Linked DNA regions of Drosophila melanogaster. The protein of the gene in region 2 interacts with the protein of the main gene of each other region in a pairwise test. Each region holds a gene or a part of one and is shown on either strand. Other genes may lie near its edges. The genes, in order: Efhc1.1, CalpB, CG11885 and RpS19b.

The links.
Region 1: the proteins of CalpB (region 2) and Efhc1.1 interact in a two-hybrid assay, tested with the Drosophila melanogaster proteins (one large-scale study listed by BioGRID).
Region 3: the proteins of CalpB (region 2) and CG11885 interact in a two-hybrid assay, tested with the Drosophila melanogaster proteins (one large-scale study listed by BioGRID).
Region 4: the proteins of CalpB (region 2) and RpS19b interact in a two-hybrid assay, tested with the Drosophila melanogaster proteins (one large-scale study listed by BioGRID).

Annotation. Positions count from the first base shown.
Region 1 is NC_004354.4:15,778,899-15,787,789, forward strand, and holds Efhc1.1 (EF-hand domain containing 1.1), read right to left. Parts: upstream 4,813-8,891; 5' UTR 4,737-4,812; coding exon 4,686-4,736; intron 4,628-4,685; coding exon 4,080-4,627; intron 4,024-4,079; coding exon 3,750-4,023; intron 3,110-3,749; coding exon 1,601-3,109; 3' UTR 1,500-1,600; downstream 1-1,499. Other genes in the region: CG43673 (uncharacterized protein), read left to right, coding at 284-293, 482-1,164; Paf-AHalpha (Platelet-activating factor acetylhydrolase alpha), read right to left, coding at 5,417-5,698, 5,767-6,162; mRpS30 (mitochondrial ribosomal protein S30), read left to right, coding at 7,274-7,731, 7,896-8,891.
Region 2 is NT_037436.4:9,886,834-9,896,905, forward strand, and holds CalpB (Calpain-B), read left to right. Parts: upstream 1-1,928; 5' UTR 1,929-2,450; coding exon 2,451-3,391; intron 3,392-3,457; coding exon 3,458-3,732; intron 3,733-3,950; coding exon 3,951-5,512; 3' UTR 5,513-6,486; downstream 6,487-10,072. Other genes in the region: Taf2 (TBP-associated factor 2), read right to left, coding at 1-1,506, 1,569-1,623, 1,687-1,736; CG6709 (uncharacterized protein), read right to left, coding at 6,487-6,631, 6,685-6,821, 6,876-6,947; Hez (hezron), read right to left, coding at 7,159-7,449, 7,511-7,699, 7,757-7,837; CG6707 (uncharacterized protein), read right to left, coding at 8,927-9,043, 9,125-9,289, 9,346-9,555, 9,621-9,802. UniProt on the Drosophila melanogaster protein: Calcium-regulated non-lysosomal thiol-protease.
Region 3 is NT_033779.5:417,309-423,431, reverse strand, and holds CG11885 (uncharacterized protein), read left to right. Parts: upstream 1-1,981; 5' UTR 1,982-2,065; coding exon 2,066-2,491; 3' UTR 2,492-2,537; downstream 2,538-6,123. Other genes in the region: CG13692 (uncharacterized protein), read right to left, coding at 997-1,189, 1,244-1,632; RpLP1 (ribosomal protein LP1), read right to left, coding at 2,874-3,140, 3,286-3,357; CG13690 (uncharacterized protein), read left to right, coding at 3,832-4,875; ebi, read right to left, coding at 5,798-6,123.
Region 4 is NT_033777.3:23,930,732-23,936,677, forward strand, and holds RpS19b (ribosomal protein S19b), read right to left. Parts: upstream 2,800-5,946; 5' UTR 2,746-2,799; intron 2,680-2,745; 5' UTR 2,665-2,679; coding exon 2,359-2,664; intron 2,289-2,358; coding exon 2,127-2,288; 3' UTR 1,998-2,126; downstream 1-1,997. Other genes in the region: Rpt2 (regulatory particle triple-A ATPase 2), read right to left, coding at 1-531, 593-595; CG13599 (uncharacterized protein), read left to right, coding at 982-1,263, 1,325-1,930; CG5854 (uncharacterized protein), read left to right, coding at 3,296-3,329, 3,440-3,613, 3,833-4,201, 4,298-4,566, 4,633-4,902; Gdh (glutamate dehydrogenase), read right to left, coding at 5,643-5,914.

The DNA.
Region 1 (8,891 bases), on a different chromosome or scaffold from region 2:
AGACGCTGATAAAACCATTACGAGCAATATACATATATCTAAATATATTCCCTGCCAATTTCCTAATGGTTTCATTGGCGATACACGCTAGTTCCCGCAGCACGCGCGAAAAGTATACTGTTTGTCCAAGCCGTGTTTTCCACACAAGAAGTGAACGTTACCCATGTAACCGTCGCCGTCTGCCGATGGCGATGGCGATAAGGAGGCGCCTCCGACTATAAAAGCGAGTCTGGACTAAATTTGTCTCGTTATTGAAACAGCACCTCCAAGCCGGTTTACCAACATGAAAGTTTGTACGTCGAACAATGGATTATACCACATCGATTATATAGCAAAGGATATATGGGATACTTCAAAAATAGATATATACAATATGATCATAATGTCTGCATGTGTGTCCAAACAACATGCATGTGCAATTAGCTTAAAGATCTTATTGTTAAATCTATATTAAAATTGTTGTATATTCTTTCGTCTTTAGGGATTGCACAGCATCTATTTGTGGTGATCCTAGTGTCGTCGGCGGTGCCATTGACTGAAGCTTTGGGCAGCACCGTTTGTGCGGATCGCTTCAATGGCCTGTCGTTTGCGGATCCGGCCAGTTGCTCCAGCTTCTTTGTGTGCCAGCGTGGTAATGCCGTTCGGCGCGAGTGCTCCAATGGCCTGTATTACGATCCAAAGATCCAGACCTGCAATCTACCCGGACTAGTCAAATGTTTCAACGGGGATCGCGGCGGTTCTGTGCTGGGAGACGTCAAAGCAAACGTCACTTTGGTGCCCAATGGAAAGGCCAATGGGGAGGTCACCACGACGCCACCACAAACAACCACCTGTCCACCGACGACGACAGTGACACCCGCAGTGACCACCAAAAAATCGAAACTTATTCTCGATACCGAGGATGCAGATGATGCCCATTCCATCTTCCAAGTTACTCCGCATCCACTCACTAACAGAATTGATGTGCTGAGATCCCAGCGCGATTGCCGTGGAATAAACGATGGCGAGTATTTGACAGATCCCAAACATTGCCGTCGTTTCTATATGTGCCATAAGAATCGGGTCAAGCGCCATAATTGCCCACGGAATCAGTGGTTCGATCGGGAGACGAAATCCTGCCAAGATCGCGAGTTGGTACTGAATTGCCCAGTCAATCGGAATTAGACGTGTTTTCCAATAGCACATACAATATACAATGGTTGCCATAGTAGCATATGTGGATATCGTAAATACTGTTGAATGATCTTGGTTCCTGGATCACAAAATATCAGTTAAAGATATATAAATCAATTATAAAACCATTGGTGAAATAAACCAAAGCAACATTCGAAACAATGCATCATGAAAATCATTTTTTTTTTTTAATTCTAAATTAGAAACTATCTATATATGTAAGTACGAAATATACTAAGTTTTGCTATTGCAAAATATTGTTATTAAAAATTAGCAATTAGGCTATGCATCCTATCTGCCAATCCTAGTAAAGAAAATCGATTTTTCAAAATATATATTTTTTTTTGACGATTCAAGATAATGGAAGGAATTACAACAAATAATTTGGAACGAAATATGTGTGTGCACTGCAAGATACGTGTCTCAATCAAGCCATGTGCTGTGCGTCGTCCTCATTCGCCTTGTGGGCATCGGTATCGGGCATGGCCGATGGTGGCATTATCCTTCCACCCTCTGCAATCGCATCGTTGTTCTTCTCGCCGCCGGCTGGCAAGTTGAGGGGCAGATTAAGTTCCCTCAGGAAGCAAGTGAAGTTCACCACACGACCCTTGTTCAGGAACGGGATCTTGGGGCAGAGCTCGAAGGCGTGGTTCACGGGCAGCATGTCGCAGCCCTTGCCGCATGATACGTCGATGAAGTTCATTAGGTCGCACACCTCGATGTCGTCGCACTCGTTGCGATTCAGAATCGAGAGTATATTGTCGATCAGTTCCAAGGAGAATGGCAGGCGACATCCCCGCAGTGCCGATCTCACCTTAACTTCGGGCAGGAATGGCTGGTTGGTCGGATTGATGTGATGGAAGTGCTCCATCAGATCATCCCGAGCATTCCACAGGGTTCTCTTAAGCTCGAGATGAGCCGCCGCCCGCACCGTGGACCGATCGCAGGCATTTGGTTGACTCTTCTCCGCCGAAAAGTGCCGGCAGAGGCTGATGATCTCGTGATCGCTGATCTGGTTACCCATAATGCTGATCAGGGCGCCCTTGAAACTCTCGAAGGACACAAAGACATCACGCTTCTTCTCAAGATCCGTACAGTCCGGAACACACGATCCCACAAACTCCGCCATGCGATTCTGCAGGGCACTCTTCACCTTCTCCATGATCACACCCACATTCGCATGGGGAAAGATCTCCGGATGGTGCTCCATGTACATAAGCGTGTACTCGTCCGCCGAGACTATGTGAAAAATGAAGTCCTTCAGCGACATAGTCGATCCGACAAAGAAGTTCCATGGCATATAGTACTGCGGCTGCTTGCATGAGAACCTCTCCTGGCCAGGCAACTCCAAGCGTGTGCGCTTCATGAACTCACCACCGAGGAATCCGGAGTTCCGCACGGCGATCTCCTGGATTTGCAGCGTATCATCGCATAGATAGTAGCTAATCACAAAGATTCGCTCGCAATTCGCCTTGATGGTCGAGAGCATTTTGGCGCCAAAGCGGAGCACATAACGATCGTATTTGATGAACTTTTTGAAATCGGACTTTGGCGGCTTCGGTTCGACCGATATGCAATTGCCCACCGAATCCTCGTAGCTACCCCATCCATTGTACGGTGGCAATTGTCGTTCCGATCTATGGTCAGCACAATCATCGGATCTGGCGGGGATCGGCAGTGGGGTAAAATCCTGTATGCCATATCGCTGGCGGTAATAGTTCTGGGTGAAGGGATCCAGTTCGGTTATCACCACCGCACGGCCATACACGTTTATCACACTGCCTATCTGGAGATCCTTTTCCCTATAGTAATGAATCTCCTTGTTTCCAGTGTTCAGCGGATCCACGCAGTAGCGCACGTTGCGCATGTTGGTGCCCAGGACGTTCAGTAGCGTCATCGGGGTCATCTGTCCTGGCAGCTGGAGTCCTTCGAACTCCTACCAAAAACAGATATATAGTATTAATCATAAAATATGATATTTGCGAACAGATTTTCCATCATAACTAAAAGAAAGAACTGTTTTATGCGGCTAATAAACGGATCTTACTACATGTGTAATTTTCATGTTGAGTTTTAAAAATCCATTTTTTTACAAATTTTTGAATCAGCAAAATATGTGAAAATGGCAAAAAGTTAAAATTTGCAATTTTGAAAACAGATCGATGGTGAATTTGGTTACGAATTCAACGAGGTATGACATTCCACTTTTTTTATTGCTAATGTAAAAAAACGGATAGTTTTTCCTTAAAAATATGTATAAATATGGCAAAAATACGATATTATGACATGAATACGATATAACTTGGTCAATATTACAGTTTTGCACAGCTAATTAGGTTAATTACCTACACTCTTAATTATATCTACAGGTTTATAGGGAAATTGGAAGATTTCAAATATCAAGAGATCCGAAACTACAAAAGTTCAATAGAAGGAATCCCAAGAAGATATCATGTAAACCAACCTATCTCAAACATCTTGGGATCTGGGCTACAACATCCCAATTTACTTTGCTAATATCGTATTGTAAGTCGTTATGGTAAATACCAGTACCATCTATACTTATTTTTACTTACTCGAGCTAAGCGCCCGCGTTTAAGAAAAACGGTTGGGCCGTCGCGACCTGAGTTGCGAATGTGCTGCTCCTTGATTTCGATGGTATCGTCGGAGAGATAGTAGCACAGCTCCAGCTTGCGTACGTCTCCGAACTCGGTTCTATCGTCCCAGTACGCCTGGAACTTGAGTATTTGCCTATCGTACTTGAGGAACTGGGCAAACGGATGATTCTTTGGGATTAAATTACCAGATCGCGGTTGGTTTTCACGCTTTCGTTGCTCCTCGGTGGGATCGCTATATGAGAATGGACATTATAAATGGGTAATTTCCGAGATTCAAATATCGTTTACCATGGCGATTTGACCGGATCGGGAACGGTTATGCCGCGTTTGTTTAAGAAAGTTCTTGTGAACGGATCGCAATCGGTGATATGATACTGACGATCAAATATCTGAACAGTCTGATCCACGTTCAGATCGATGAGGGACATGAACTCATTATCGCACGGCGGCGCCTTCTGGACCCGCTGCCTATGAACTACACATCCCTGCACAATTCCCGAGTTGTCCACCCGGGGCTCGTAGATCTCTAAAGTACCATCTTCCAGATAGTAGTAGATCTTAACCTTGCGCACCAGATAGGGCGCATGGTAGACCTCCTGAAGGGTTTGCTTGAAGTAGGCATGGAAGCACAGCACCTTCTTGTCATACGCCAGCCATGGAGGCATACGGGGACCCGAACGTGGCGGATATATGGAGGACGCCCCAACTGGGGGACAGCTTATGTCCACCGTAACGCTGCCCGATTCCACAGGAGCCGGTTGCTGGCGATCACTCAGCATGCTCAGACCTTGGACATTGGCCAGCGATTGCGGTTTGGGGTAATGTCCCTTGGATACCTGTTACTCGCATAGATGTATATCTAATCCCAATTGATGTTCAATCCGAAGTACTTACATCGCGAAAGAGAGTCCCCGGAAGAAGGGGCATTCCAGGAATGCGCAGCATTGTATATATTTTATGTGAATTATTGACCCGTTTTCGACCTTTTCTCTTTGGAAATATTTTGTATATTTGGTGTACGCTCTAAATGTAATACAGAGCACTATTGAAGAAAATTTAAGTCCAGATCCTGCGGAGCCTACTCTTTTTTTTATTTCTCCAGGTCCGCATACTTCCTATTTATAGATTTGGCCTCTTTTAAAAAATCCACTACGTGTACACTTATCAAACGTCTCCCACGGTTTGCATTAAACTTTACTTCTTATTGTCAATGCATAAAATAGTAATAAAATACAAGAATACTGTCAATATATCAAACAAAAGTTAATTTGTGGGTGATCAAACGGAAAACGTAAAAAAAAACGAATGCTAGCGAAAATCCATGAATGTCTGATGCTTGAAGATAACTTCTATTTTACCCAATGACAGTCATTTCGGTTTTTTTTCTTTTCTTATAAATACAATGTAAAATAATATCATAATGCAATGGTATATGCGATGGTTTACTATTCGATACGAAAAATGTATGCTTAATTGTGAGTTAGTCTCGCAGCTCTATAGCTTATGAGATTTCAAAAAATACATTTCTGGTTTTAAGTTATATTCTGGGAATTGTTTGTGGTATATGTATGTGTGTATGTATGCATGTATGTATATATATAATGGATAGCTGCTGGATATTCCTTTTATTCGGAGGGGGTGAGATCGTTTTCAGGTTCGTTTTCGTTGAGAATTTGAGAAAGCAGATCGTAGAGTGGTTCTAATATCTTTTTCGCTCCAGCATTGGTTAGATTTTTATAGTCGAACATATCGTGATGACTGATACTGCCGTCGGTCTGGACCAAACCCTTGTCAATGGCCACCGTCTGGACGCGATACAAGCCCTTGGTCAATCCATTGACCACCTCGTTGATTTTGGCATTCTTTTCGCGCAACTTATTGGGCTGCTGGCCACGCGGCAGTAGCGACTGCAAGGGAGAGATGGGAATGTCGATGATTTACTGCGGCTGGCTAATACCACAACTATTGTACTTACGGGCAAAACGATATAGGCGTTGGGCAGCTTTTGCCGGATTTTCGTTACGTTCGCGAGCACACCCTCGGCCACTTCCTCCGCGCTGTTCCGCACATTATTGGTGCCCACATGGAGGACGACGATTTTGGGATTCACATTGTCCAGCGCACCGTTTTCGATGCGCCACAGTACGTGCTCGGTGCAGTCGTCGCGAATGCTGAAGTTAAGGCAGTGCAGCGGCGCAAAGTACTTATTCCAGGCCTCCGTGTCCTGGACGGTCTCGAAGATGCAGTCGCCGAGGAATATCACATCCGGATCCTTTTCGCGGCAATCGGAGATGAACCGGCGATGTATGCTGTGCCAACGCTTGTCGCCATCCAGATCGGGCAATGGGGTGGGCAGCACACAGGGATTCATTTCGTCGGCGTGCTCAGACTCAGTTGCAGACCAATATTGAGTTTTAGTTAAAGATTCCGATTCCTATTCCTATTTCGATTTCGATTCAGTTGCAGTTTCAGCATGCGGATGAATGAGGCATCGTCTGCGGCTTAGTCTTACCGGATACTTGGGCGTTCTGCTCGGCTTGCAGTGACAGCGTTGCAGTCGTGGACAAACAATTGAACTGATAGTCGCTAGCATAAACAACTCCGTACCGTTGTTTACTTTAATAAATCGTTTTTATGGCGAAGATTTTTTTTTTGTTTTTTTTTTTTTGTGTTTTAGGTTACCTCAACATTAACATCCGTAAATGTCGTAGAATTATGTGGCCACCCTCGTGTACATGGAAATTGCCAAGGATTTAAGGTTGAAAATTTTTATAAGTTTATTTTAATTTGGTGTAGAAAATCTACGATTTTCTTGGTAAGCGTTTATGTTTTCGTTTTTAGAGAGATGGTAGATGTCTTGGTATTTTTCCAGGGCTGGAAAGTGTTGTCTAGCAATGTTGCACTTGGCACAGCTGAAAAAGATGTGGGATACGTTATCGAAAACGTTACACGGTCACATATGTTACTGTTTGTAACGTGCATTTTATTCAAAATTGTCAAAAGCGTTATCGCAGAGAAGTCTGTTAATTATTTTGATCTCTGTTGATTTAAGTTTACAATTGTGATTTTTAAGGCATGTGCCTTTAAGCCATATGCCATTATTTCAAGGGGAAAATATACCAAATGAAACAAGACTATTTTTTAGCTTTTTCTAGACAGCTTAAAAAATATTACGATGATTTATAACTGATTTCAGAAATAAAAAGATTTGAAACATAAGCAAGTTAAATTTTGTACCCCTACACGTTAAATAGTAAAGGACTATGATTCATTATGAATTATTATTGAACTGCATAAATAGAAATTATACCATTACTTTCACTGGCATCGCAAAACTTTCCGTCGCTACCTTGGCGCAACCTATTCTGAATCCAGCGTGCGGTCACACTGCAGCAATGACATAACCTAGTTATTGTCAAAAAACTGAAGTCAATTCTATTCCTTCGAAAACATAAATCGTAACTTGCGTTAGGTTCGACGGCATGTTGAAGCTTAACCGTGTTCGCCATCTGCGAACGACGTACAAGCGCTGTTTGTCCGGCCAGTCGCAGCTGCAGCTGAATAGTACGGACGCAGAGCCGGCATATCCGGAGATTCAGGATCTGTCCTTCAAGGCGCGCAAGCAGAAGGATGCGGCCAACTGGCACGAGGAAATCCGGCAGGTGCCGACGGTGGAGGAGAAGATGATCAAGATCAATATGCCCCGCTATTACGGCTTCAAGGTGGTCGACTTCAACGACTCGAAAATCCCCTACAATGCACTGCCGCTCACGCAACATTATACGCGCACAGTGCTCGAGGATTTGCCATCTGAAACGGATAAGAAGGCACAGGCTAAGGACTCCGAGCAGGAGCAGGAGCAGCCGAGCGTGGATGGTCTTTTCAAGGCGGCTCGCGGGGATGTTATTGATGCCCTCGAGTTTGCCCACGACTACTACAAGTGGGTACAACGAGGTCCGCTTTCAACGAACCAAGTTCTCCGGCGAGTTTGTGGACAGTAGTTGGTCCAACTCACTTAAGAACTCGGATTGGTTGGAGTGGTCCCAGTTACAAGTTCGACCGTCTGATATTAATGTATTCATTCTCCTCCATTACCAAGCGTAGGCATCTGGAAAAGCAACACAACTCTGCCGAATCGAACCCCGTTGAACGTGAGCGCATCCTAACGCAGATCATTGTAGAACAGCTGAACAGAGCTCTGCTGCAGTCGCTCAGCGAGGAGTACAAGCACCTGGATGAGCTCGATGTCGACTACAATCCACGCCACGAAGCGTTCTGGGCCGTTGGCGGCGTAGATCCTCCCAAGAACGTGCAGAAATCGAAGAAGGGCCGGGAATGGCAAAAGGATATGGCAAACGAGAGCGTTGATCGGATGGTTCAGTATACGGGAGCGCCGTATCTTGCCCTACGCCATCGCAAGCAATTGACGCCGTGGAAAACGGAAGCGGAAAGCGAAAACCTCGAGCTGAGCAAACAGCTGCCCCGTTTCAAGCACGACCCGCGAACCCTCGGCTACAGCACCAAGCATCAGCACGCCACCAATGTGCCAGGCTATTGGCCCAAAGGAAATGAGAATAACTTCGGCCTGCTCTCATTTCAATCGCGTGCACACCTGCAGATCCGTCCGAAATCGTTCGGCGAGCAGGATCAGCTGGAGGCATTGCATTCGCTGGCGATTAAATCGTCATACGCCTGGCTTTTGGCCCAGGCGAACTACAATGGCTTCAACACCTACAACGAACTGACCTATCCCATGAACACTCAAACTGTGATCACGAACGGCAGGGAATGGAGCTTTTATGAGTATCAGCTTAATACGCTGCTGCTGCACGGCACAAACGTGGCGGAAAATCCCCGTGTCAACTTCTGTCGCGGTACAAAGCCACTTCCACTGTACGCCGAGATTTCGGCAAGCGGCAAGTGCGTTGATTTCAACGATAACGCACTGCGGCACCTGCTCAATTTCTATGCCAATGCGCCATCGATTCAGCGGAGCATTGGGGAGCAGCAGCCGTATGTTGCCTCCGACGTTTCCGCCTATGAGAACGCCGAACAGCGTGACTTTATCAATAAGACCTTCAAATATTTGGCATCAAACCG
Region 2 (10,072 bases):
TGTGAGCGAAAACTTGGCGTGCCCTCCAGTGCGCACCCACTGGTCCATGAAGACAGACATATCTTTTCCGGTTACGGTGAAGATGGCCTTGATAAAAATGTTGGTCGAGATGAGCAGCTGAGACCAGAGTCCTGCACCGATCTTTGTCGTTGCCGCACTTGAAGCCAAAGCCAATTGCTTATTGAACACCTGAATCAGCAGCTCCTGCCCGATGCGGTTCTCCAGCATCCGGATTACGAAATGCGCTTTCCTTCGCATCGCCTCCACATACTTCGGCGATACGGTGTGCAAACTCTTGATGGGAAAATAGTGGACAATCTCCTGCTGTTTGCTGGAAGCCGCCGATTGATTTGTGCCCGAAACAGGCAAAGGAGCTGGCGGCTGACTGCAATCGAGAATAATGCCGCCATACTGCTCCTCGTAGCGAACGACACGCGCCAGTTCAGATTGCACCCAAGCACGGTACTCGTTGTTGCCGAAGCACTTCCTGGAATACAATCCACACAGGTACTCCGCAATGCCCTTGGCCAGCCAGGTGTCCGACCAATGATGGGATGTAATAAAGCAGCCGAAGAATTGCTCAGCCACAGCGCGCGACATAAAGGTTCGAGATATATAGGTCTGATCGATGATAGCTATGGAGTGCAGCAGATTCACCGAAGCAATGCTCATAGTGGCATAGGCACTTATGTCCGTGTCCAATTCGTCTACAAACACTTGTTTGTAGCAACTGAATGGGTAGCGCGTAGATAAGGTCTCCTCGTAAAATTCAAATGCCTCGTGCAAATAGCGAACCGTATTTTTTAACAGCGGCAACAATCCGGGCAGACAAAAGTGGGTCACTTCATGCATGTGCGGATCCACGTAGATCTCAAACTGACCCACAGCCAGCGCAATATTTGGTGCACATACTGGTGTGCTAACCGAATAGTGGAAGGTTTTCTTTCGCAGATCTGGGGTCATAATGACTTCTAGAAGTTCTCCACACGAAACGGCGGTCATATTTTTGTCGACAGTGAACTCCAGCCGCCAGGTGCAGGGATCGGCGAAACTGTCCACGCAGGGAAACCACAATCTCGACGAGTTTTCATAGCAATTGGTGAACATATGCGAGCTGTTCATCTGTGTCTCCTCGTCCGTTGAAGCGGGTGGTATGACAAAATGTACGCCGCATTTGGGATTCTCCAACGAGAACTCGATGCGGATGCGCAGACCCTGACCCTCCTGGATCATAGAGTAGCCCTCGGGCGGAACCTGGATGAGCAGTTCGCCGTTGTTCACATCGGGATCGGTGTACTGGGCGGCGGTCAGATGATGCTTGGAGTAGACCTCCAGCGCGCGGCTCTTGTGCTCCTTGTAGCAGATGTTCTGGAAGGGATCGAAGTACGTGAAATCCGCCTGGCAGACATCGTTCAAAACGACGCTGTAGATTCTCAGCTGCTTGGCATTCAGGCGTATCAGGCGCAGATTCTCGCTGTTCGGCACAATGGTCAGCTCGACCACGCCCTAAAGGGAGGAGGTGTGTTATGTTTTGTACATATTTAAGTGTATCTAAGTTATATCCTTACGATTATGCTCCTCCGCTCGAAACTGATGCCCGTGAGGCTCACAACCTGATGCGCCGTGCTATTCAAAAGGGAGAACTCATTATTTTTGGATTCCTAACAGAGCAGGGTGAATACTTATAATTTAAACGGTCGCAGCGGCACCTCGGGCACCTCAGGTTGCGTTTCCATCGCTCAAATGCCGGTTCTGCGCCAGAATTTATTAACTAATTTGCGTTTGTTATAAAAAAAAACACAGCACTGTTTAACTTCTTCTTCTTCTATTGAAAATGCCGACAGGGCTAAAAAAATACCAAATTCATTCGGATAAAGATGGCAACTCTGCGCGACAATGTAGCCCTGCTCGCCTTTTTTTAACCCTCGAAACGTGTTGGGTCTTCAATATTGACACTAATTTAATAGTTTACGTTCGTAAACAATATAGACTACATAACTACTTCTCTAATACCATAAAAATACATTTTTTAGAAAACTAAAATTTATTAAAAGCTATATTTGTTTTTATTGAAACTGTTTAATAAAACAAAATTAATATTTCTATAATATATTTTCTGAGTTAATAAATGAATTAGAATGTTATAAATATTTCATTCTGCATTTTCAAAGCTTTTTTGATTGCACATGCATATTCAAAGAAAATTTATACAGAACGCGCAAGGGTTAAAGATTATGAATCATTTACCGAGAAAGTTAAATTTGGATACTTCTCCCATTTAAAGCGTACGATTCTCAGCGAGTCAGCAGTTTTACCACGGCAGCGAGTTAATAAACATCTGGATATCATCCAGTTCCGTAGTTTTAGCCGATTTGCAACGCCATTAGTAGTTAGATTTAGGGAAAAACCAGTGCGTGGACGAGGAAAACCACAGCGAAAAACCAGTAAAAATGTACGGCATTGATAATTACCCCAAGAATTATCATGCCAGTGGCATTGGCCTTGTCAATTTGGCGGCCTTGGGCTACAGCAAGAATGAAGTCAGCGGCGGGAACGAAGGAGGAGGAGCTCCCAAACCCAAAGCGGGTCTCTACCCCTCGTTGCCCTATCCATCATCCGAATCCGTGGGCGGAATGCCATATGTGGTAAAGCAGACGAGTCATGCCCAGAATGCTTCGTATGCGGGACCCACCATGGGCATGGGAATGCCCGTGCCAGAAGCCCCCTCAGCGCCGGCTCCATACCCCAGTGCCACGCCATACCCTGGATCAGGACTTTATCCTAGTCTGCCATCAGCCAACGTATCATCGCTGCCGTACCCCACTGCGCCTATGGCGCCCTATCCAACCGGAATGCCCTATCCAACTGGCATGCCGCAGCCCAATCTACCCTATCCGGCGGCTCCGCTCGCACCATATCCATCTGCCATGCCCGGTTTGCCCGGTATGCCAATGCCGTACGCTCCCATGCCAACGAGTCCGGCTCCCCAGCACAATATCGGATTCCCAGCACTACCATATCCCACGGCACCGCCACCGGAAAGTGCTCCAACCCAGGAGGAGGAACCTTCCGTCGGCGTGGCCGAGCTAAGCTTCACCAGCGTGAAGGTGCCCGAGAACCAGAACATGTTTTGGATGGGTCGCAAGGCCACTAGTGCCCGGCAGAACAGCGTAAGCAAAGGCGATTTCCAATCGCTGCGCGACAGTTGCCTGGCTAATGGAACCATGTTCGAGGATCCCGATTTTCCGGCCACCAACGCTTCGCTGATGTACTCACGACGACCGGATCGCTACTACGAGTGGCTGCGTCCCGGTGACATCGCCGATGATCCGCAGTTCTTCGTGGAAGGCTATTCACGATTCGATGTGCAACAAGGAGAACTTGGCGATTGGTAAGACCAAACGCATTAATAACACATAAGTGGACATAAATTCAAAAATTAAATATTCCTTCACAGCTGGCTACTGGCTGCAGCTGCCAATTTGACGCAGGACTCGACGCTCTTCTTTAGGGTAATCCCGCCGGATCAGGACTTCCAGGAGAACTACGCTGGCATCTTTCACTTCAAGTTTTGGCAGTATGGCAAGTGGGTGGAAGTGGTCATTGATGACCGTCTGCCCACCTATAATGGCGAGCTAATCTACATGCACTCCACGGAGAAGAACGAGTTTTGGAGTGCCTTGCTGGAGAAGGCTTATGCAAAGCTGCATGGATCTTATGAAGCACTCAAGGGTAGGAAATGGAATATTATCAGTATTTGTAGAAGCGTAGAAAATTTGTGGCATACCAAAATTTATTTTAGTTTCTAAAAATACACTATGCTTATCATATGTTCTTAAAAAAAAATAAACTAATGTGGCACTTATCGCGGTTAGGACTTTGTTGAATAGATCTGAAATTTAAATACTTTCATTCTAATAATTTTTTTGTAACCATCTCTTCACGATTAGGCGGCACCACGTGCGAGGCCATGGAGGACTTTACTGGCGGCGTCACCGAGTGGTACGACATCAAGGAGGCGCCCCCAAATCTATTCAGCATCATGATGAAGGCCGCCGAGCGTGGCTCGATGATGGGCTGCTCTTTGGAGCCGGATCCACATGTTCTGGAAGCGGAGACGCCACAAGGTTTGATTCGCGGTCATGCATACTCCATTACCAAGGTGTGCCTCATGGACATATCGACGCCCAATCGGCAGGGAAAATTGCCCATGATACGTATGCGTAATCCATGGGGCAACGATGCCGAATGGAGCGGTCCGTGGAGCGACAGCTCGCCTGAGTGGCGATTTATTCCGGAGCACACGAAGGAGGAGATTGGCCTGAATTTCGATAGGGACGGCGAGTTCTGGATGTCCTTCCAGGACTTCCTCAATCATTTTGATCGCGTGGAGATATGTAATTTGTCGCCCGACTCGCTGACTGAGGATCAGCAGCACAGCTCTCGCCGCAAGTGGGAAATGTCCATGTTCGAGGGTGAGTGGACATCGGGAGTAACAGCCGGCGGTTGCAGAAACTTCCTGGAAACCTTCTGGCACAATCCGCAGTACATCATTTCGCTGGAGGATCCCGACGACGAGGATGACGATGGCAAATGCACGGCTATTGTGGCCCTTATGCAGAAGAATCGACGTAGCAAGCGCAACGTGGGCATCGACTGTCTGACCATCGGATTTGCTATATATCATCTCACAGACCGTGACATGCAAGTGAAGCCCCAGGGACTCAACTTCTTCAAGTACCGAGCATCGGTGGCGCGTTCACCACATTTTATCAACACGCGCGAGGTTTGCGCCCGGTTTAAGTTGCCACCTGGCCACTACCTGATTGTTCCATCGACCTTCGATCCGAATGAGGAGGGCGAGTTCATTATTCGCGTCTTCTCGGAGACAAGGAACAATATGGAGGAGAACGACGATGAGGTTGGCTTTGGCGAGACCGACGATCGCATTGCTCCGTCTCTGCCGCCACCGACTCCAAAGGAGGAGGATGATCCGCAGCGCATTGCACTGCGTCGTCTGTTCGACAGCGTGGCTGGCAGCGATGAGGAAGTCGACTGGCAGGAGCTGAAGCGCATCCTGGACCACTCTATGCGCGATGTTATGGTGGGCAGTGATGGCTTCTCCAAGGATGCCGTGCGTTCGATGGTAGCCATGCTGGACAAGGATCGCTCCGGTCGCCTTGGTTTCGAGGAGTTCGAAGCTCTGCTTACCGATATTGCCAAGTGGCGGGCGGTCTTTAAGCTATATGACACCCGTCGCACTGGCAGTATTGATGGATTCCATCTGCGCGGAGCACTCAATTCGGCTGGCTATCATCTGAACAACCGGCTCCTGAACGCCCTGGCCCATCGCTACGGATCGCGGGAGGGACAAATACCATTCGACGATTTCCTGATGTGTGCCATCAAGGTTAGAACATTCATCGAGATGTTCCGCGAACGGGACACGGACAATTCGGACACGGCCTTCTTCAACTTGGACGACTGGCTGGAGCGAACAATTTACTCTTAAATTACTTGCAATTGCTACTAATCTAATCCTAAGTGCGACGTATACTTAATCTACCTGTGCATCATATTATTCATGCATTCAAATGAGAAAGCCAACACACAAATCCATGACAATGCGATCCGGCGATGCAAAGAGATACACTCACTGAGCCAACAAGAGAATCTTATCTATATGACCATATCCGGAAATACAAATCATGTGGCGAAATTGGAGTGGCCTTGGAACGGCACGAGGTTGCTACGAGTATGCACGGTAAACAGTATAAATCCCGCATACACAATTCAAAAAATTAACGCTATAGATTTTTTTTTACCATGCTGCGCAACTGGAGGGATGACTAAGAGCAAGCATCAATAGCAAATCCACTCCATGCACCTCGTCAAGAGCCGGAAATTTACTAGTACAAACAGTGCATTATTACCTTACAATCGCTATGAGACGCTCGGAAAGCCATTAGAACGCATCGACAATATTTATTAGATATACGGAATGAATAAGCATGTATTTTTGTAACATCGTTAGCTCCGAGCAGTCCACATATTTGCCCAGGTGCTAGAAATAAGTCCAGCCAAACTCTGTTACCCAAACAAACGTTGTTATTATTATCAGGAAAGTAACGCGAAGCGAACAAGCCAACCAACTCATCGAATATTTATAAGCTTAAGCAGAATTTCAGAATATCAGTCAATTTATTGAATCACATCAAAAAATGTAATACGCATATATTTTGTATTTAGTTTTCAGATCAGTAATCTCAAAACATACCTTAATTAGGCACCCTCTATGTCAAAATAAGTGTTTAACTAACTGAAATTAACCAATCGGGTTTAGAGGCTCTTTTTGTTGGATGCTTTTATATTTTACTATAATTTTTGTGAATTAATCAAAGTTACTCTTGTATGCAATTGTTACTATTAATAATTTGTTGTCCGACTTTTTGTATGCATATAAATAAAATGCAGTGATGATTCAATCTACTTGACGACTATAACTACATCAGCACCATTCGGGACGCCAGCATCGATCATTATTTGCTTCATTTCATCTATAGCCAGATTGTTATCGGATGCCAAGTTATTTAGGACCTCGAGAAAGTCTTCGTACTCCAAACGCCATTTCCTGAAACATGTATTTGATTAAGAATGATATGTAGATTTGATGTAGTTACTCACTTGTATCGCATGTATATTAAACCGGTCTGAGTTCGAGTTATGGGATTGGGCATGAGCTTGGCCTGCTCTAGCCAGGCGTCCAACTGCGAGAGGAGTATGCTGTCAAAGTACTCGTTCTCGATGTCGGTGGGTATGACCTGGCATCATTTAGATGAAAATTACTCTTCAATTAACCGGGTCATTCATCATACCTGGAAGTTGGAATACACCAAGAACAGGCTGTCCAGCGTGTGCTTCTTTGGTTTATCTTCATCATCGGCCATCGTGTATTATGTGTGTTGGGTGTTGTGGTGTAGTGTATTAAATCGAATTTGTACAAACGAGAATGGTTTCCCCTGGCAGATAAAGAGCAGTATTCTGTGTGGGTGTCATGGCTATATGTATGTGTATTTTGAATTGTTTTGTTGATAAACAAAACGTACAGAGAATCGGATGCTATCTAGACAACTGTTGCCATGGGCACGGGCCATCGTTCTAGAATTGTTTACTGCAAAAGTTTTGAACGACCTCTTGGACGCATATCGCCAGCTTGGGATTCCAATCGAGGTATCGGATATTCTCCGTGGCATACGGCGCATCGATGACCACCTGACGGAGTATATTGATCGCCACTTGGTCGCCTTTGTTCTGCCAGATGATAGCGGGATCACCGAATCGCTTGACTAACAGTCTGAACAGAGCTTGACCAAAGGGCGAGGCATTGGGATGATAGCTCCGGCAGGAGAGCGTACGATGTTCGGTTGCGTATCGGTATCGTTCTCGGATCTGCAATTGCAAATGGTTGAATGGGGTTTCTTTTAAATATCTATATAGAGAGTGCTTCTACCATGGGCAAATCAATCGGTTCTGGCTGTTGAACTTCAGCCGGCGGAATTGCTTCCTTTACTATTTCAATGTCCATGCACAGGGATAGGTTCACAATGGTCACATTGCAAGTGGTCTGTTCGTCGCCACCGCCATTGCTTGATGGACACTTCATTATCAGCATTTTCACGCCCAGATCGAAGGCCACAACCTGGGAAATTGAAAGCATTACATAATCATAAAAATAATAAATAATATTTAGTTTTACCTCGCCCGAAATGTTGTCGCCAAAACAAGTCTTGCAGCGCACAATAGAGCCCACAGTAAAGCAAGGAGCCAATGATGACATCTTGGCCAAGGAACTTAAAAACTTTAAAAATGTAATCGAAATCGAAAATCCCAGCCGATGTCCGATGTCAAGTTCAAGGCACTCTATTCTACTTTCATAGCCTTGTCATTTTGTCGCCAAAAAGTTGGTGGTGCTTGTGGTTTTATTTCTTTTTATTTACAGTGTATGTATGCTAATTTATAATGTACTAAATATAAATGTTGTTGTATATATATATATATATTTCAAAAGTAAACCGTTCCTTTTAATCATATATATATATGCAATTTCGCAGTTTAGCAGTTGCTGTCTAAATTAATTTTCTTTATATCTGCATGAGCGTTTGCTTGTTCTCTGTTGTTCAAGAAATGTTGCTTTGTTTATTTGCATTATAATTATGTATTTATGGTATTGTATATGCGCGTATGTGTATGTACCTTCATTAGCACTATTAGCATACCCTTCAAATTGTTTCTAACGCCAGGCAACAAAACGCTTTCCTCCGCTTTGGCGAGAACTGAGAAAAAGTGCATTGGTTAAATTTTAGGCAACACAAAACTCAAAAGCGTATCAACGAATACGTAATGTATGAATACCGAAATATCTTGCAGGACAGGCACGAACGGATAACAAATCGGACACTTAAACAACGAAACTGTACAATCTTTAAAATGGATCCTGACGATTCTAAAAATGAGATGCACTGTGGATTGATCGGTCGCTGGTCTAATAACTAATGACTGCCAACACAGATCGGGGTTTTCCTTTTTTACTTTTAGCACTTGAATGGTAGCTGCACGGCGACCCTTGAAATATTCGCTTTTAGTATAGTGTTTAGTTAGTTACGGCCTTAATATCCTAATTATGCTCTTCAACGGGGAGACCTTCTTTCGTAAATTTAGCTAGGTTTGCTATTAGTTTTGCTCGAAACGAAGAATTTTTGTATGTAGCTGAACTGCTGGAGAAATGTTCATATGTTCCGTCTGCAAATTGGCTGCTTGTGTTTAGTTTTAAATTTAATATCAAAAGGAATGATATATATGAATAATATATATATATAAAAATAAAACAATGCACTTTCTTCCTTGCTACTGGCCCCGTGCTTTAGCTTTACATTGGCCCATCGATGGCGCTCACTTTAAGGCGGAAATAGTAGGCGGACCTGGCCAGCATGCAACCCGAAATCACGAACAGCGCCACGTAGAGGAAGTACATGCCACCATGATCCTGGAAAAATGCAAAAGGAAACACACATATGGGTTTAGAAAATCACATACTTCAGCTTGATTTTAAATTGATTTGGCTTACCGAAGCAATCGAGTATGTGCCGATAGTTACAGCGATGCCTGTGATGAGGAACACCAGCGCCACGATGGCGAACATCACGGCGCGGCTGTTGGCAAAGCGCGAGCCCACCGATGAGACCTTCCTGCAGTGTGGACACCGGGCCAAGGCGTTGTGATACGTGTTGAACTGTAAGAGCAAGCGTTACAAGACTCCTGCTGCTGTGATTTGGATTAATAACTCACCAAAAACGTGTCCGAACAGTGGCCACAAGTGACGCGGCACATGCCCGGCATGGTTGGCACGGGCGGGGTGACGGGACTTGGGGCCAGGTTGATGATCCTCTTGCAATTGGGCCTTGGACAAGCGATTCGCTGCGACGAGCTCTTGCAGATTAACAAACAGTTGCATGGGCAGCGAACATACTTCTTGCCCGCTGGAGCGTTCCGAATGGGCTGTTGATAGCCAAAAGCGTATTAAGTTACAATTGGATTCAAAGAATCTGCTTAGAATTACTCACAGTAGCCTCATTGCAGTGGGTGCACTTGACCACGTGCTGCTCCCGCTTCGTGGTGATGTCAATCATGTGTTGACATACCCGACAGGTGACCATCGGGACGCCTCCGGTGTTGGTACTCTGCTGATACGGCGGCGGCAGCTCATCGGGTCCAATGCAAGGCACTGCGGTCGGTGCTCCATTGCCTAAAATTCCATTGCAAAGTATTATTAACTACTTATAATATTGTTAAGACCCATGCCCTTCAAAGGCGAGACCTTTGGTGTAGAATAAATACATCTCGCCAGCAGAGTTCGCTCAACCACACTGCTCATCTGGCGGTGATTGGCTCATGGAGGGAGTGAGAACTGCATTTTCTGATAGTGTGCAGTGTGTGGCTCTGGGAAGCTGCGATAAACCAAATGGGTCAATGTTTTGGCGTTATGAATGCAGCTTTCTCGTACAAGCATTAAACT
Region 3 (6,123 bases), on a different chromosome or scaffold from region 2:
TAGTTGTCACACTCGAAAAAAAAAAACTGTACACAGATGTTGAGAATTCCACATAGAACGAGTAAATTTGATTAGGTTGGACAGAAAGAAATCATATTTTGGAAATCATATTCATATTCATATAATAAATAAATATTTCGATTCTCAAAAAACTTCTTCTTTTCGTTCAGTATATTGTGTATCTGTGTCCGATTCAAGTGTTTGAATTCCTCGGCTGAGTTCCTTTTTTCGGGCTCTTCTGCTGCGCTTCGATCACTGGAATTTTAAAACCGGATGCGTGTCATTCCTCTGCCCCTCCAAGCCCGAAAATCCAGGGGCATCAGGAATGCGGCTGCTGCTTCCTGCGGTTCATCTCCCTCCTCCGCTCCTCTGGACTCCTCTGGGTTCGAATCTGGTCTTAGTTCTTGGCTCGTCTCCATGCCATCTAATTTTTCTATGCCCATAATTTGTACTTCCCGCCTACCTCTTTTGCACGGGACCTAATTTGTAGATTCCTCCGCTGCTGCGGTTGCTGGTATCGACTGACTGGCCTCTAGCAGGTATAGGTGTATACTCGCCATATGGAAAGGGTCTTCCGGTATAGTTTGAATTGGTTAGGTTCGGGGTACGAGGCGATTACCATGGATACCTGGTCGGCCAAAACATTAATTACTTTGCAGTGCGCCTGTTCCGGTCCCTGGGGAGTCACCCTGTTGGGACACCCTGACTATACCTCTCTGTAAATCTACCTAAATTTTTAATGTTAATTTGAGCTTAATATAACCAACTTGTTTCTTGGTTTGTCTTCCGGGATGCATCTGCATCTCCTCTGCTTTCTGCTTTTTGGGAAGTTTAGGTCTTAATCTAGATATTAACTTCTATCTGATAGATTAGGCAGTGTTCACGTTTAATTTTATTAACTAAAGCCACATAAAAATGCATCGGAATAGAGTTTAATATTTTCACTGGTGTATCATTAATGTGAGTGACACACTAATTTCTATGATATTTTATTATTTAGGGTCTCTGCAGCCAATCGTAGATGGGGTCTAAGCCCACTTTGGTGACGGCGCTGGCCTCCACGATGGTCACCTGCTGGCGGATCTGTTTTTGCAACTTCTGCATCTGCAGCATGAGCAGAGCCTCGTTTCGCATCTGGCGGTAGGAGTAATCCATTTTGGCCAGTACCAACAGGATCTTAGTATTATGCCTGCGACGAATTTAACTAGTGCATGAGCTTTCAGTTCATTTCCACCTTACTTACTGCAGACGCGGCTCGGTGAGGATTGAATAGAAAAGAACGCCGGCGGCTGAAATCTGACAGAGATTAGAGGTGTCCACGACGTAGATCAGCTTCTTGACATCCTCGAAATACTGCCTCCACAAGGGGGCCATACTCCCTCCAATTTCCAGGATCTGTATGGACTTGGGCAGATTTTTACCGCCATGAGGAATGTTAGCTGGAGCTTCTGAGGGAGGAGGCTTATTTTTATCCCCATTTGGCGATTTTGTTGGGAAATGGATTCGGTAAATCCCAGTGCCAATGGTGGGCATGGAAAACGTGGTCTCATCGATGGATTCCGGATCCTGTAAAGCTTTCAAAAGGTGCGTTTTGCCCGCTCTTTTGGGGCCCAAGCAAATGCAGGTGGACATTTTTGCTTTTACTTGGATTTTATTTATGGATCTAACAAAGGTAGCCTTGGTTACCAAAGTTTATTAATTAATTAATTAAATTAAAATTGTAAAAGTTAGTTCAGTAAGCACGTACATGTTGTTATTTCTGGCTTATTTTATATATAAAATATTTACAAATGGTTGAACATTTAATATCAATCGCGTAATCGAAATCTTGTGTCAGTAGTTCAATTATTTTCTGCATGATGGCGCTCTCAGGAAATCAGTGCAAACGTTTGAACTGCGTGCTTCGGGAGTCACGAAACTCGGAACCATTCGGCCACACTTCATATTAGCACATCAATGCATAATGACTATCGATAAAACATCGATGTATTTTTCATCGTTTTTTCATGCTGTCTCATCGTAAACAATATCAACATTGTTAAACGCTTTTAAATTCTCTCAAAAAATGAACCACACAGCAAACAAACCTCGACAAATCGGATTCGACAGGCAGTTCTCAGCGGACGTGAACGGCGTTCCCACGGAGATAGTGTTCCACTGCTTTGCCAAGAAGTGGTTCTTAGTCATAACGCAGCTCGGCAAGATTCCCGGCATCTACAACGTGCACTTCGATGTCAAAAAGGACGAAAGAGTGGTTCCCTATTTGCACGGACCCGTGGACAATCCGGAGTTCCACGTATCGGTGCCAATCACGATGAACTGCTGCTTGGGCTTGGACACCGACGAGACTCGCAGCGCCATACAGTTTCTGGTCAACAGAACCGGACTCCACAAGTGCCCGACGGAGTTCGTGGTGGGCTTGGGTCTCAAGAAAATCGACGGACCCAATCTTCGTGCCCTAGCTAAGGTCCTCGAGGAGACGTTATTCTAGTCTGCGTTCGTTATATCCAATAAATATTAGCTGTGACAGTTTTTGTAAAAAAAACCTTGAACATTTTAATCGTAGCCTTCAACCCGGCTGACCAAATTATTGGCCATTCTACTGCAACCTCTTTCATGTGCTTAAAAACCCAAAATAGAATCTACTCACAAAAAGGCAGTGGAATGACCAATAACATAGTAAACCATAATAATTCTGCACCGTTGTGAAAGGAATGAGTCTCGATAATTTTTTAGCAAACGTCTTCTATATTTCCTCACATTTGTACATTAAAAACGTGTACGCAGGTCGGGAAACGGGTACACGTCCACCTCTCGAGGATTACAGCACAAACACAACGGATGTCCGGTTGTCGAGAAGTTCTCTAGAGGATTTAGTCGAACAGACCGAAGCCCATGTCGTCGTCAGACTGGTCGGACTCCTCCTCCTTCTTCTTCTCCTCCTTCTTGGACTCGGCGGCTGGAGCAGCGGCGGCGGCAGCAGGGGCAGCACCACCGGCGGGAGCGGCACCAACTCCGGATCCGATGTTGGTGATCAGGTCCTTGACGTTGATGCCCTCCAGGGCCTTGGCGAAGAGACCGGGCCAGTAGGGCTCCACCTCGACGTTGGCGGCCTTCAGGATGGTGTTGATCTTCTCACCCTGGTGAATCCAAAAAATAAGATCAGCACAAGTTGCAGCAGTGCGAAAGAAACCATAGGACCCGCAAATTGTCCAATACTTCCGGCCGATGGCCGCGGCTTTGGAGGATTTGCTTCGTCCCCGATTGCAATATCGAAAAACTTACGGTGACGGCGACATCGTCATCGACGAGGATGAGGGAGGCGTAGACGCAGGCGAGCTCGGCTTTGGTGGACATGTCGAAGTGCTGTGGCTAATCACTGATTGTGCAAGTTGCCAAAAATTAATTGTTTATAACAAATGGCCTTAGCTCGGGACGAGAACAAGCACGCTGGTCAAAATCCTAAACCGGAAAGAGCAGTTGATATGCAGTGTGACCGCGCCGATGACGAAGAAAAATACCAACCGTCTATGAAAATTTGCATATTATTGTCAGGAAATACTAGGTAGAGGAAAACTCGTTCAAACTGCCGAGATTATCTCTTATTTAAACTAGTTTATTTTTAAGCATCTTGGACAGAAGCCTTAGCATAATTCTCTGGTTATATGTTTATCTCTCTATTTTAATAAAAGACCTTTCCGTACGGTTATTGAGAATATTAAAAAAAAGATATTTTGGTATAATGACGAATGAGTCACACTGCAACTTTATGTATACAATTAGTGTGCCCATAGCGTCGTTTAAACGTAAACAAAAAAAAAGCGCGCGAAAATGTCGGACCAAGAAGACGTAGTTGTAAAAAAAGAAAAAAAATGTATAGAAAATATTGATGAGAACGACGAAGAGCCCGATGATGTAGATTTTAAGGACAGCGGAAAAATAAGCTCCTTGAAGGCCCTGGGTCCATTTATAGCCGGCAAGGAGAATAGCCGCAACACGGTTTACCTCAGCGATGTTCCGGATATTTGCAAGGATAAGCCGTGCATGCTGGGCGTGGACGAAGCAGGGCGTGGTCCCGTCCTGGGACCTATGGTATATGGGATCTCCTACTGTCCACTGGAAAGTAACAAGGCTTTAGAGGACCTGGGATGCGCCGATTCCAAACAACTAACCGAGGGGAAACGTGATATCATATTTAACGATATCAACACCAAGGAATATGCGACCAGTTGCGTTGGCTGGGCCGTGGAGATCATATCGCCGAACACGATCAGCACCAGCATGTACCGGCGGTCGAAGTGCTCCCTGAACGAAGTTTCCATGGACTCGGCCATGGGCCTTATCCAACAGGCGATCGATGCGGGCGTCAATATAGCCGAGGTTTATGTGGATACGGTGGGTCCGCCGGAGAAGTACCAGGAGAAGTTGCTCAAACGTTTCCCCAGCTTTAAAATCACCGTGGCGAAAAAAGCTGACTCCACCTATCCAATAGTCTCTGCTGCTAGTATATGCGCCAAAGTTACCCGTGATCATGCCCTCAAGGTGTGGAGCTTCCCCGAGGGCTTGGTCATTAAGGACAACGAGTTCGGCAGTGGATATCCGGGAGATCCGGTCACAAGAAGATTTCTGACCGAGTACATCGATCTAGTGTTTGGATTTCCACGACTTGTGCGCTTCAGTTGGTCCACCGCGGAAAACGCACTGGCGGACAAGGCCTATGACATGGAGTTCGACGAGCCGGATTCCGAGAAGCCCAAGTACGCCGGCACCAAGCTCACAAAGTTCTTTAAGGGCACAACAAAATCCGGCGAAATAATTCGCGAGGAGTGCCGCTTCTTTAAGCAACGCCATCTGGAAAGTGTCATGGAGTTTTAGCAACAAATGAAAATAAAATTAAGTTCAGGAGTATCTATATTTACAAAGAATAAAGTTTAATTTAAGTACTTTAGTATTAAATTTTAAAATGCTAAAATACAAAAAACACCCAGGCCCAAAACGAAAACAGATTAATTTTTATCTTTAATGTATTTTTGCTGATGTTCTTGTGTTTCCGCCAATCTCGTGTTCTTAATAATTACGTTCGATTACTGACTACGTGGGACTGCAGTTACACTGTTCTGAATGTATGCGTGAATCGGTCTGATCTGATCTCTTGGCATCCCTTTTTTGGAGGACAACTGTGGAATTGGGTAAAGGACTTTTGGTGGGGAGGGCGGGGAGTTGGCTGGCATCTTTGATCGATACAATAACAAAATGCAAAGTTATACTAAACGATTTTCGTATAAAAAGGGACGACCTTAGAAACATGGAGCTTATGATTAAGATTAAAATGAGGCGAGTCGCATCCCGCTGATCTGAAGAGAACAACAACCATGTTGAAGCCCCCAAAAATCCCAGGTGCATATCGATATTTTGTGACTCGAAACTAAGCGTACGAAATAGACGTGGACAAAAGCGGGAGGATCTCATCTCAAGAGGTATACCTTAAAGAACTAATTAGAATTTAAAGCAATTACAAATACGATTGCAGGGCGGGATAGCTAAGAAAGGAGTTACCTAAGGTCCGGACTCCAGATCCAAATCGACTTATGTTGGTAGAATTGTAACTGATCATATTTCACTTCTTTAAAAAATATAGTTAAATGCAATTTTTGAATCAAAAGTAAAAACTTCTCGTTCCGTAAGAAAGTGAAAAACTACCGATTTCATTTTTACCAAATAATGAGCTGGAAAAGGAATCTTGACTATTTTAAGCGTTGGCTCAATACACGAAATCCAGTTGTGGCTGCTCCGGCAATCAGAACTTTCGCAGGTCCAACACGAAAACGCTACCGTCGGAGGCACTGGCACCCACCTTAGTGCCCTTGGAGTTCCAGCACACCTCAAAGATTCCGCCCGTGCCCTTGTAACTGTGCACTAGCTGTCCCGTTTGCGTGCTCCAAATGTGTACGCACTTGTCGAAGCTGCCGGAGGCCAAATGCTTTCCATCCGGACTGAAGGCCACCGAATAGACTGGCTCTGTGTGCTTGGTGAGCGTGTGGATACAGCTGCCCCTCTCCACGTCCCACAGTCTTACCGTGGAATCGAACGAAGCGGATGCGAGGATCAGGTTTGTGTTTGGAT
Region 4 (5,946 bases), on a different chromosome or scaffold from region 2:
AGCCTTTTCCAGTTTCATCACCGTGACCATTGGATCGGTGTCGTCGCTGAGAACTCCGACTACAGCGTGTACTTTGTGGTTGAGCAGCACGGAGCAGCCTGGTTCCAGCTGATCCTTGTCCACGAAGGACAGGATGCTAACATAGTGCTCGGAGCCCACCGATGTGGACACGATGGCGTGGTTGTCGTCGATGATCTCCTCCAGGTTGCCCACGGACATGGGGGTGCCGCGCAGATCGTCAACCTTAGAGCGCTCCTCCTCGTTCTTCTCGTCCTGGGGCTTCAGGCGCTCCTGGTTGCGGATGAACTCGTCCTCCATCATCAGGTAATCCTTGATGCGCTCCAGCTTGAGCAGCTTAAGGCGGCAGCGGGTGTGGGGCGTGACCTGGGGCAGCTTCATGGCCGCATCTGGACCCTTTGCGCGCCTCTTCTTCTTGCCAACGCGCGTTGGGATTGGAGGCTCGTACTTCTTCTTTTTATCCTTGTCATCTTTCTTTTCGCCAGCTCCCCCTTGAGCCGATTGGTTTTGTCCCTGCAAATGTATTGTTCCCGATCGTAAATGAGTTCAGGGTGTTCTGAAGGTGCTATTTTACCATTTTGTCTTGGTGCTTGCTGCTTTGCCGAACGTTTGATGAACTTTTTACTCTTTATTGTCGGCAACAAAATTACTAGTCATTCGCGTTAGCTGTGTTGCCGTACTATGGAAACATGAAGGTCTGGCAACTCTAAGGGTGAACAAATATTTTAAAAAAACGTGAAAATTAAAATAGGCAAGAAATGCTTAAGCAATCGGATTAAAACAATAGTAATGATTAACAACCAAAATATAAATGAATTCAAGACTTGAAAAAAGCAAATTTTAAAAGTCACTGTTTTATATACTTATCGATTACTGTAAACAAACTGAATGTTTCAGTCTGGCAACGTTTGCAATTAGTGCGAAAAGAGCATTTGTTTAAATTTGTTATATTGCGACCTTTTAATGGATCAAAATGTCAAGAATGTTGATCTTAAACTGGATAACATTGAGGTTCTGACCAGTGGGACAACAGCGGAGTTCGTGAATGGCATCCTGGACTTCTTGCTCTATCAACGCCGGCAAATCCCCTTCGTGTACAAAACATACAAATATTATGTGGATAAATGGTCAGATGCTGATGAATCGGGAGAATCCAAGGATCAGGAGTCCTTTGCTCATTACCAACGCAACCAGCAGCGCTCTAAGGCAAAGGCCACCAAGGAATCTATTAGTGACATGAGAGAGGTGAGGTTCCCCTTACATCCAGGACTTCTTTTGGTCTTTACTTGCCAGTTCTCTCCTACAGATCATCCGACAAGCCTTCAGGAGCTCTGAAGTGAAGAGCCTGCGATTTCTTTTTGGCAACAATATGTTCATGCCCTCGGAGGCCTATACTCTGCACATACCACATGATTCCATATCCAGAGATCACTATTGCGAGCACCATGCTCTGCCCGAAGGTCGCATCAACCAGGCGCTGCTCCGCCTGCTCACCTGCGAGGAGCTGTACAGGCTATTCTCCACCGAACTAAAAGTCACCAACGTGTTTCTAGAAATGGAGCTCCTTACAGACTCCGATCGACCCCAAGGATCCCATTGTGACTCCTTTAATCTAATCCCAAAGCATATATTAAGCCAACTTCCGCGCAGCTGCAAGAACATACACCTGCATCTACTGCATTGCAGTGAAAACACACCGAATGAATTACGCTGCTGCAAGGAGATGGATATTTACCACGATCTTGGCGTGCGGAATCTGGATAAATCTGGGGAAGACGTTAGCCAGACCAACGAAGAGCATGACGTTTTGAAAGCAGCAAATGAAACCAGCGGTTGGTGGCAGGCCGAGGTCATAGTTCGCGGTTTCAGAGCTCCTGGCAACCAAAAATCGGGAGATTTGTGGTCTAGCTAACATTTTATAACTTGGATTCTTGCTATTCGGCGTGTTTGTGTCAAAAATAAAGTTTCGAATCGTTTATATTTCAAGTATTAAGTTATTTTATTATGTATATAATTGTTTAATTTTATTTTTGGTTTCGATTTATTGAGAATGTTTTGAAAACCCAAGGCACTCAAAGATGATCCATCGTGGTATTGGTATTATCATCTTAGGTAGTGATAATCATGGAAACTGGTGCACTGCGCTCTCGCTGCTTGGCCACAATCTTGTTGGCTATGCGATCCAAGTTACGTTGTCCTTGCGGAGTCAGCTTACGACCACCATCCGGGTGCCTCTCCACCATGTTAGCAGCTTCCAAGGCTTGAAGAGCCTGCTCATGTGTTAGATACATGCTAAGTAATATTAAATATAACCTTAAAGTACAACCATTTCCCACTCACCTTGCGAATACAGCCATCCGATGAGCGACAGTGCTTGGACGGACGAACACCGTTGCGCTTGCGCCCGCTATAGACCTTGGTGAAGGCCCCAACGCCGGCGGGACTGCGCAGGTACAGGTGTCTCATAATAGAGGCGCAGCGAGTGTAGAACCAGTCGTCGTCGGTAGGAGCAGTCTCCTTGAACTTGCCAGTCTTCATATAGACGGCCTGTTCGGGCACAAAAATTTTTCCGGATTTTTTGAGAAAAGCAGCCATGTTTTTGGTCAGAACGTGCTGATCGATTTCCTTTACTGTGACTCCAGGCATGTTGCTCTCTACGTTCTTGAAAGCACGTTTTTAAGGCTCATGGGTCCGATATATGTATGTATGTATTTAAAAAAGTCTTACCTTTTGAGAAGAAAAAGGTTTGCTTCCGGTTAGTTTGCTGACTTTAGTCAAAATGGACGATTGGCAAGTGACGTTTGAAAGAGGGACCAGGTCATTGACCCCAAAGGATTACTTTCCGATAGTTTTGTCGTGCAGTATTGGTGAACTTGGCAATTCTTTTCGAAAACTTAACCTATAAACTTGGAAAGGAACGCAATGTAGCAAAACTACTGTTCTTGGTGACAGGGGGTTTAAGGTAGACTAACAAGGACAATTTTATGACACTGAAGCCCTATGGAGTAAGAATCAAAGAACTGCTGTATTTTGGTTTGTATAAATGAATAAAACGTTCTACGCTAATTGAAGAGCATTCGAAGAGGTTTGAATACAGCGCCATAGGGTGACCAGCTTGTGGAGCATTGAAGGTATTTCTTGTTTTAAGAATGATCACGGGATGGTCACACTAGAAATACAGCCAAACAAAACAACAAAAAGCATTTCGAGCGCTAACAAATATATATCTTTCGACTTGACTCATTCGCATTCCGGTTGACCGTGTCGCGCCTGCAGCATGTCTGAAAAGCCGACTGTTCTGATTTTGGGTGGTAAGTGGTCCCGCTGCATCCTCCTCATCGTCATCCTGCCCCCGCTCCCCACTCCACACTTCCGCTTATCAGCATCGCTGACTGCATCGCTGCTCTTCCTCTTCCCGCAGGCTGCGGCTTCATTGGACGCAACTTGGCCACTTATCTGCTGGACAATGAACTGGCGCAGGAAATACGACTGGCCGATAAGACCCCTCCGCAGATGGCATGGCTAAACGAGGAGCAGACGCGGGTCTTCGAGAGCGATCGGGTGGAGTTCTGCAGCGCGAACCTAATAAACGCCGGTAGGTAATCACTACATTAGGGTGGCTCGTTCCACCAGGATGCGGATCACAACTCCTATGGAGATCCAAAATCCGCAATTAACATTCTTGTGAAAGGAAAGCGCTATCGGATATAGAATTTTCAAGTACCACCTTGGTATCGCTGCGCGTAACGAGCCACCCTAATGCATTTGTTGCACCTAAACTGGTTATAGAACGCTTCCCTTTGTTTTCATACAGCCTCATGCAAGGCGGCTTTTGCGCCACACCCCACCACTGGACGGGCCTGGGACATTGTCATCAATTGTGCGGCCGAGACGCGTGCCAACCAGGATGATGCCGTATACAAGGAGGGTATCCTGAAGCTCAGTTTGAACTGCGCCAATGAGGCGGCTAACCAGCGGGTCAAACGATACGTGGAACTCAGCTCTGGTTGTGTGAACAGCAGCGAAAAGACGCCGTTAAAAGAGGACTGCAAGACGGATCCCTGGACGGGCGTGGCCAAGCAGAAGCTCAAGGTGGAGAAGGAACTGGCCAACATCGACGATCTCAGTTACACGGTCGTCCGTTTGCCCGTGGTCTATGGCATTGGCGATAAGCGCTATTTGAGTGAGTGTCCCTCTTCGCTGATACCCGATAATTGATGTAATTGACAAAGCCCATGGGTTAATCCCGAACCCACCACCCATTGCCTTTCGTTTACAGTGCCGCGCATTATAATCGCTGCCATATACAAATACCTGAACGAGACAATGAAGCTGCTGTGGAACGATGCCATGCGTTTGAATACTGTGCACGTATCGGACGTGTGCGCTGCCGTTTGGCAATTGGCTCAGAGTCCCAAGACCGCCGGTCAGATCTACAACATCTGCGATGATTCAGCATCGACGCAGGGCACCATTAGTAATCTTTTAGTGGATATTTTCGACATCAATTTGGATTTCTTCGGCCTTGTAATGTCGAATTTGGCAAAAGTAAGTTAGCATTTAATCGGCGCACTAAGCTTCAGCTTATTGTTTATTATTCGCTTGAATTTTCAGCTTTATCCCACGGACACCGTCAGTGAAATCAACGACAAGCACATGGCACCCTGGGCCGAGATTTGCCAGCGCAATGGCATCGACAACACCCCGCTGACACCGTACCTAGATGAGGAGCAGCTCCAGCACAAGCACCTCTACTTGGATAACACGAAACTGAAAGACTTTGGCTACGTGCTGCAGCATCCGAAAGTCACTCGCGAGCTGCTCATGGAGATGATTAACGACTATGTGAAGCAGCAATTGTTTCCGAAATCGTTGGTTCTTTGATTCACTACTTCTATCAAAAGATTGCACCACGTTGACATGCACTCGGACCCGGAGACATTTATTCCCTGTAGCTTGTAATCCACTAGTTTTTTAAACGATTATCAAACCTCTTCCAATTTGTATACGGACACGGATACTCTCACATGCACGCTGTGCTGTATCTCCGTTTTTTTTAATCACAAAAGTGTACTTATAGTATTATAGAACCCATATATTTTTGATACATTCCAGTCGATCCAGCGATATATACGTTTTTGCGTACGAGTATTCCATTGTGATTAGCTAAGTGACCAACCGCAATCGACAATTAAAATGCACTTGTTTAGAGTTTAGTTTTGTGTATATTTGATTATTTTAATGTTACGGCAACGGAGCGATCGTACGATAAACGTGACTTGACGGTACGAGACGTTGCGATACATAATTGAAAATGCAATTGCTTCACTTTGACGCTCATTAACTTAAAAATTACAGAAAATCAACAATAATAAGCTCGCAACTTGTTCAACTTAATACGAAACACGGGCGAAAGTTCGCTTTTGTTTTGCTTTGTTTTTTAAAAGAGTTATTTTGGCCAGCTCCAATTGCCATAGATATAAATTACGATTCTTGCATTTCGGTTTTGTGACTTTTCATCTAAGACGGCGGTGCATGGAGCAATAGCAATAGTTATGCTCTTGAGTTCGATTGCTTAATTAACTAGTTAAGAGTCTGGGGGCTAATCAGCACACTCAGCGGGCTTAGAAGGCCAGGCCGGCATCGCGGTATGTGGTGAAGATCTTCTCAATGGAGTTGACGTAGGCAGCGGTTCTGAGGTCCAGGCCCAGGTTGTACTTCATGGCTGTCTTCATGATGGCGCGGGCGGAGCGCTCCATGGTGTAGTCCAGGCCGGAGTGCACGATATCCTTCTCGGAGGCGCCGGAGATGCGCTTCTGGAACGACTCGGAGGGGGTCACGGGGATGCGACCGCCCACACGGCCGAAGCGACGCTCCAGGGACTCTTGAACGGATTCTGCAGGAAAACAGCGATGGGGGAAACAAAAG